Linked DNA regions of Caenorhabditis elegans. The protein of the gene in region 2 purifies or fractionates together with the protein of the main gene of each other region. This does not show direct contact. Each region holds a gene or a part of one and is shown on either strand. Other genes may lie near its edges.

What was found.
Region 1: the proteins of inpp-1 (region 2) and spt-16 fractionate together in Caenorhabditis elegans (co-fractionation; one large-scale study listed by BioGRID). This does not show direct contact.

Annotation. Positions count from the first base shown.
Region 1 is NC_003279.8:10,787,100-10,790,853, forward strand, and holds the start of spt-16 (FACT complex subunit spt-16), read left to right. Parts: upstream 1-2,030; 5' UTR 2,031-2,037; coding exon 2,038-2,109; intron 2,110-2,157; coding exon 2,158-2,250; intron 2,251-2,300; coding exon 2,301-2,756; intron 2,757-3,117; coding exon 3,118-3,754. UniProt on the Caenorhabditis elegans protein: Component of the FACT complex, a general chromatin factor that acts to reorganize nucleosomes. The FACT complex is involved in multiple processes that require DNA as a template such as mRNA elongation, DNA replication and DNA repair.
Region 2 is NC_003282.8:10,771,541-10,775,294, forward strand, and holds the start of inpp-1 (Inositol polyphosphate-related phosphatase domain-containing protein), read right to left. Parts: upstream 1,907-3,754; 5' UTR 1,841-1,906; coding exon 1,795-1,840; intron 1,208-1,794; exon of another isoform or gene 825-1,207; coding exon of another isoform or gene 821-824; intron 751-820; coding exon 607-750; intron 543-606; coding exon 488-542; intron 440-487; coding exon 221-439; intron 173-220; coding exon 42-172; intron 1-41. Other genes in the region: T25B9.9 (6-phosphogluconate dehydrogenase, decarboxylating), read left to right, coding at 3,321-3,754.

The sequences.
Region 1 (3,754 bases), on a different chromosome or scaffold from region 2:
TTGTAGCCTGTGCTGATTTTCGAATCAAATCCATCTCCTTATCGTCTTTAACTGCGAACAGATGAGTAAACGCGAGAGTAACGTCATTCTTATTGACACCGCCTTCCTCGAGCGCCTTATTCCACGAACTGACGAATTCCGAGCTGAATTTCTCTTTGACGAAATTTCCAACATCTCCGCCTGCACTTTTGATGTGATCAATGAGCTTTTCAAAGTTTCCAGCGTCTTTATCGGTTTTATCGCGGAGCAGTGTGCTGACTGTTGGCACTTTTCCTGAGCTCTGATTGTCTCCAGTGACTGATCCGAAGAATTCGACTTTGCGATTACTTCCGAGAATGTAAATGTGATCATTGAGAAGCAACAGGACTGTGTCAGCGATTTCGTGGCCAAAAAGCCAGGTCTGAAATAAAAATTTGTCTTGAGTTTGAACAAAGTCTGAAAAATCCTTACAAATAGTTCGCTGGTCTTTGTATATGGATTATCAGTCTCTCCGTATACAAAAGCAAGTGATTTGATCGAATCTAGACCATCGGCTCCCTTCTCCTGTAAAATATTTGTAAAAAAGTAAAAACTATCAAAAACAGATCCAATGAAAATAAAATGGAACTCGGTAATTTTCAAACTCAATCTCACAATTTTTCGATGGAAAACATTTTAAAAATATAGCAATTCTACAGCTTTTATGGCAAAAAAATAGGGAAAAAATTAGAATTCAAAAATGTTCGTCGACAACAACGCAAAACCACAATCGTGTCGAGACCCATCCGAGTAAGCCGATGTCCCTTTAACCAACCCTATCGCGGTTTTTTTTTAAATTTTTAAAATTTCTTCAAATATTTCGTCCGTTTCTCTTGTGGACCGCTGTTAAAATAGTTAAATACTTTATTTTTCAGAAAACAGATAATTTATACCAAATTGACAGATGTAGAGCTAAACTCCTCAAAATTTTCTAAAGTTCTTATAATTTTACTGTTGTCTGCGTTTCAAGGCCTGAAATATTGTAGGCACTATCGTAGGATTACAACCGGATTTGTAACTTTGATTATCTGAAAAGGAAAAATATTAAACTTTTCTTTCAGGATTTTTCGCAATTGCCGGCGTAATAATTGCTAAAAGTCGACTTTAACTTCAATATATTTTAGCATTCCGAATCTGAAACTAGTTCCCAAATGCCATCTCTCCTTATCATTATAGTCTTCTTGCTGGTATTCTTGGAAATTGGATTTTTCCCTGTAATGTGTGGATGTTGGATGGATGTTTGTACACTTCCATTATTCAATATAACATTATCACAAAGAATTGCAACATTTGCCACAGCTCCATTCATGTCAATATTCCTTCATTGGATGGTTGGAATGATTTATGTATTTTATTCAGCGTCATTTGTGATTCTTCTTCGAGAAATCCTTCGTCCTGGTGTACTATGGTTTATGAGAAATCTCAACGATCCCGACTTTAATCCAATTCAAGAAATAATTGATCTACCGTTCACGCGGCATTTCCGAAGACTTGTTGTATCTACAACTCTGTTCTTTTCAACGATTCTTCTGACATCCTACATCCCGCTCAACATAATCTCATCACTTATTCCACATCTTCTACCCTACAGAAACTCCACTTTCTGAACTCTCGCTGGAATTGATGTTTCTTCAAGAATTCATCACAATTGTGTACTCTCACATGGCCCCTCCGTAAATAACATGGCGGGAATATTGCATGCGGAGTGGTTGCGAAAGTGCGTGCGGCTGTTGCGTTCCTTGACCACGCCCAACTTCATTCCATTCTTTTTCGCGCGCAATCCTCACTTTCAGCTCTAATTTTTCAGAGTTTACAGTTCTTCAGTGAAAAAATATTTGTCTCGTCAAAACGTTTTTTTCAAAATTTTAAAATTGTGTCAAAAAAAATTAATTTTTTCGCAAATTTCAAACTTTTAGCCTATCCGAATCCGTTGCTGGTCACTTTGTTTACGTTATCGATTTTTGCTTCCATCTCTCAATCCTCGTGACTTTAACACAATTTCTAACTTTCAGGGGAGAAATGTCTGGAAAACGGGCAGTTCTCAACAAGGATCTCTTTTTCCAGAGAGCGGAGAGGCTTTATGAGCACTGGGTTTGTGACTTTCAGGACTTTACGAATTTTTAATCAAATATTTTACAGGAGAAGGGAGCCGATGGTCTAGATTCGATCAAATCACTTGCTTTTGTATACGGAGAGACTGATAATCCATATACAAAGACCAGCGCACTATTTGTAAGGATTTTTCAGAATTTGTTCAAACTCAAGACAAATTTTTATTTCAGACCTGGCTGTTTGGCCACGAAATCGCTGACACAGTCCTGTTGCTTCTCAAAGATCACATTTACATTCTCGGAAGTAATCGCAAAGTCGAATTCTTCGGATCAGTCACTGGAGACAATCAGAGCTCAGGAAAAGTGCCAACAGTCAGCACACTGCTCCGCGATAAAACCGACAAAGACGCTGGAAACTTTGAAAAGCTCATCGATCACATCAAAAGTGCCGGCGGAGATGTTGGAAATTTCGTCAAAGAGAAATTCAGCTCGGAATTCGTCAGTTCGTGGAATAAGGCGCTCGAGGAAGGCGGTGTCAATAAGAATGACGTCACTCTCGCGTTTACTCATCTGTTCGCAGTGAAAGACGATAAGGAGATGGATTTGATTCGAAAATCAGCACAAGCTACAACCGCATCATGGACAGCTGCAAGAGCTCGCTACGTAGAGATCATTGATCAAGAAAAGGTGCTTATCGTTCTGAAAATAGTTGAACCAGGAGTCCGCTGCAAGCATTTCTACATAATTAGCCAGTTTTTGGTGATAGAATATAATGAAGCAGTTGATGTATCTGAAAATAGCTTTTAATTCAATTGAAAAAGCGGAAGAACTGCTCAAAATCAATCTGAAAGTTGGAAATCACCCGAAAATTAAACTTTCATGCAGTTTTTGAGCGTTCTTCCAGTTGTTTCAATTAAATGTAAAGCTATTTTTAGATGACTAAACTGTTTTTCCTTTTATCTATCACCAATAACTGGCTCATTTTTTAGTACTCCTGGGAAAACCACTGTTTTAATCCCGAGAAAATAATTCTTTTTTATTTTTGCAGCGAGTCCGTCACTCTGTTCTCTCCAATGAGTTTGCCGCCTTCATGAAGGATTCAAAAGTACAACAGGCACTGGCCAAGTATGAAGCCGACACATGCTATGATCCAATCGTAATGTCCGGTGGAAATTACTCGTTCAAATGGAATCATGAAAGCTCGGAATCTCATCTTCACAGCCAGTTTGGAACGATCATCACTTCGTTCGGAGCTCGTTTATCAGAATATTGCACAAATTTGACGCGAACTATGCTCATCTTCCCATCTTCTGAACTTGAGACTGCCTATGAAGCGATTCTTGCCGCCGAGCTGGCAGTAATTGCTGCTCTGAAGCCAGGAGCCAAGCTGAGCGATGTTTATAAAATTGGAATCGATACATTGACGGAGAAAAGTCCAAAACTTGCTGAAACTCTGAACAAGAAAGAGCTTGGATTTGCGACTGGAATCGAATTCCGTGAGAGTCGTCTTGCTATCAGTGCGAAGTGTGACGAGGTTGTCAAAGCAGGAATGGTCTTCATCGTTTATATTGGTGTCGATAGTATTCCAAACAAAAATAAAGGAGAAAAAGGAAAACCCGCCGCAATTGCAATCTCGGATACAATTTTGGTTAAAGAAGAAGGCGATAACGAGATTCTCACCGAAA
Region 2 (3,754 bases):
TTTTAAACTATTAGATTCTAGATTATAAGATCTGAACTCACGGATTGCATATCGAAGATGTTTCTGTCGAATGAAGACTATTACCATTTGACTCCAGGCTCTATGTGAAAGGTACAGACGATGACCATTGAGAACTGGCTCAAGAATTCGTAATGCTTCTTCATGAAAAGTTCTGAAACTGATTTTAGTTAATCGAAAATTAATAGTTTTCGGAACTAACGGTGCTGTGGAAGGTATTTCTTGCAATGAGATGAAAAATATATCACTATCCATTTCTTGTCCTCGTTCTGCTATTTTCTGAGCGAGATGGCTCAATATTTTCACACCTTTTTCGTTAATGTTCCATGTCACGGTACATACTTTCAGTTTTCTATCACCCATAGCTTCAATAACGTCGTAACTGACAATTGGAACATTCCCAAATCCTTTTACAGCAGGGCTAAATATCATATGTTCAATGAATGATGAAAAAAAAGTAATCACTTACGCAGTATTTTGCGTTTCAATGCAGTATGTCCAATTGCCGTCACTGATCTCGTTGACTGAAATGAAGTGTAATGGGTGTCAGAACAATAGGATTAAGTCGGGGAAGGATTAGAGGCTTACATGAGGCGCTGTTACGCCACGTGGCAGGTTGAGAGGAAGAACGGAGCCATGGAGGGTGTCGAGTAGGAGTTTGATGTGATTGCTTCTCACTTGAAGAATCTCCTGATTTTGGATCACCTCCAGATGCAGAGGGAGTGTTGGCATCTAAAAGAAATTGATACGTCCAAATAAATGTAGAATACTAGATTTCAACTCAAATGTTTCTCAGTCTTACCCATTTACTGTATGAATTAAATAACTTGGCTTATTGCTTCGTTTCAACCAACTAAGCTTCGAAATGCATATTGAAAATAGAGAACATAAATCCAATAGCGACGGACTCTATCAGAGGCTTCAAGTATAGGAACGGGAGGGAAGAGCGCGCACTTTTGTATGTCAGAAAGCCCGCGTTTTTCGTGTGCAATTCGCTCGTTTTTGTCCGATGATAAAATGACGAACAAGTATAACGGACGACTCTGGTGTTGGTGGTGCTATATAATGTTATGTAGATTTCGGTGTGCAAAGGGAAATGGGCAAGTGCAGAGATGAATGGGGACAGGAGAAAAGTTTGGAGACGCAGGACGAACGAGTGAGACGGGCGTGAGAGAAGAAGTATTTGAATGGGTGCCCATGGAAAAGCATTCAGAAGGCGAAGCAACAGGAAAACTTGTGTTGCTAGGTTTCCGATTACATGCCAAGTGGAAATTTTAGAAAAGAGTCTGGGTCGCCACTGGAGAAAAGAGTCTGGGTCGCCATATGCTTCCTTATTTTTTAAGAAAACCAAGAGAAATGAAAAGAAACGACAAAATTAAACACATGAATCTAGATCTTCTCGAGCTATAATTATTCTCCCTCACTAGAAATAAAAATAAAATACAATTAGAAGAACTTGAAAACTCGTTGTAATATGATAATTCCAAGTATCTTTCTTTGTTTCTTCTGCTTTTTCGAGTTTTTTCAATGATAAAATTTGCTAAATTTTGCCTACTTTTCCAGCAACGGTAATTATGTTATCTTTTGGCGAATGTTATTTGAAAATAGTGTTATGAGAAAATATGAAATACATATGACTTCCAGACTTCAATCAAAAATAAGAATTCTTGTGTATATACGAAAGTATTTTTGAAACTTCTCGAAAATTTCACACTTGCTATTTTATTTTTGATAATATTAGGTTTAGCAGAACATGTAATCAGAACACAGACTTACCAGCACTACTAGAATATGATCCGGACCATGGAAATACTCGAAACATCACTTTTTATATGAAATCATTTGCAATACACCTGCTGCGAGATTTAAGACTAACAAAAAATATGAGTGCTTTGTCTTTCCTGTCTGAGGGCGTAGAATGAAATCAGGAAATTTGGTCGCGAAATAGTCTGTGAGAAGTAGAGAATCTGACAACGAGGAGGAGTTTTGAGATACCTATACATGCAAGTGTATGATTGAAAAAGAGAAGAGCTCTAATTGAATGCGCATTGAGATGTGACATATATTTTGAGGAGAGATGAATTTATGAATAAATTTCCAAAAGGAATATAAATTTGAAGAAATTACTTATATATTTATTTACATCACTCACCAAAAGTATAACTTCGGAGAAATAACCTTCGCATCATCTTGTATGAATTGAGAAGCTAATTAGTAGGTATTTGTAGGTATTCACTAGTGAGAGCTGACAAGAGATGAATCTCTTCTTGCTTAATAGCACTCTCCGTGCTTACAGCCTTTATCGACCAAAGCGTTAGATGTTTTATCGTCGTTGTCGTTGTGAATCCCGAGAGAAAGACATCTGGAGAAATGGGCGAAAAAATGAAGAAAAAAATCAGTGAGAGAAAGGGCACGGGAAATTGGAAACAAGGGACTGAAACCCTTGACATCCAAGAAAAAATGGATCGAAAGTCGTTTGGGTGGATGGCAGGGGAGAATGACAAGAGGAAGCATTTAACGGATTAAAGATGGAATTGAAATTGTCATGCATTTCGGGTGTAGACATTTATGTTTTAATCTTTGTCATGACTGCTTGCCGAACATTTAAGAAAGACCACAGTTCGATTTTAATCCTAATAAATGTCGTATCTTAGCTAATTTGGATTAAAAGCTTTAAATTTTGTTTAGTCTCCAAAGTTTAGTCACAAAGTTATGTACTTGGACTACCAGATGGTGTTGTGCCAAAAAAAGAAACAAAACTTCTCTTTTCTTCCAAAAAAAACTGCCAATTTTCTACAACCACCCCTCCATTTCCAATAAAAGAAAAAGAAGACATAGAGAGCCAATTCCCCATCCTATGTCGGCTTCTCGCTGATACGTATGTTGATTAGAAACACAAGGAAATTGAAAGAAATGCGGTAACGGATATGTTCATAATTGTTAGTCTGGTAAATATGTGTGAAACGAGATATCTGATACATAAAACTAATAGCGGTTTCTCAAGAGAGAATATAAAATGTAAAAGATAATAAATACAAAAATAGTCAGAAGAATATTTTATATGCATTTGGTAAGCGCTACAATCGTATAGTAAAAACAACACGGAAGTTGGTGTATTAGAACATCTTGAATAGTTTTTTTCTAATTAGAAAGCAATGCGATATAACAGTTTTAGACCCGTTCAAAAAATGTTCCGAACATGATATCAGTCTTAGCTGTGCTCTAGATAAGCACAGAATGCACGGATGATTTCATTTTCGATTCAAAATTAGTACACAATTAAGTATGTTATATAATTTCAGGAGCTCGTTTTGGACCATCTCTTATGCCAGGAGGTAATCCAAAAGCCTGGCCACATCTGAAAGACATCTTCCAAAAGATCGCTGCCAAGTCAAACGGAGAACCATGCTGTGATTGGGTAGGAAACGCTGGATCCGGTCACTTCGTGAAAATGGTTCATAATGGAATTGAATATGGAGACATGCAACTGATAGCTGAAGCATATCATCTTCTGAGCAAGGCCGTCGAGCTGAATCACGATCAAATGGCTGAAGTTCTTGATGATTGGAATAAAGGAGAATTGGAATCTTTCCTTATTGAAATCACCGCTAATATTTTGAAATACCGTGACGAGCAAGGAGAGCCAATTGTTCCAAAGATTCGTGATTCTGCTGGACAAAAGGGAACTGGAAAATGGACTTGTTTCGCTGCTCTTGAGTATGGACTTCCTGTTACT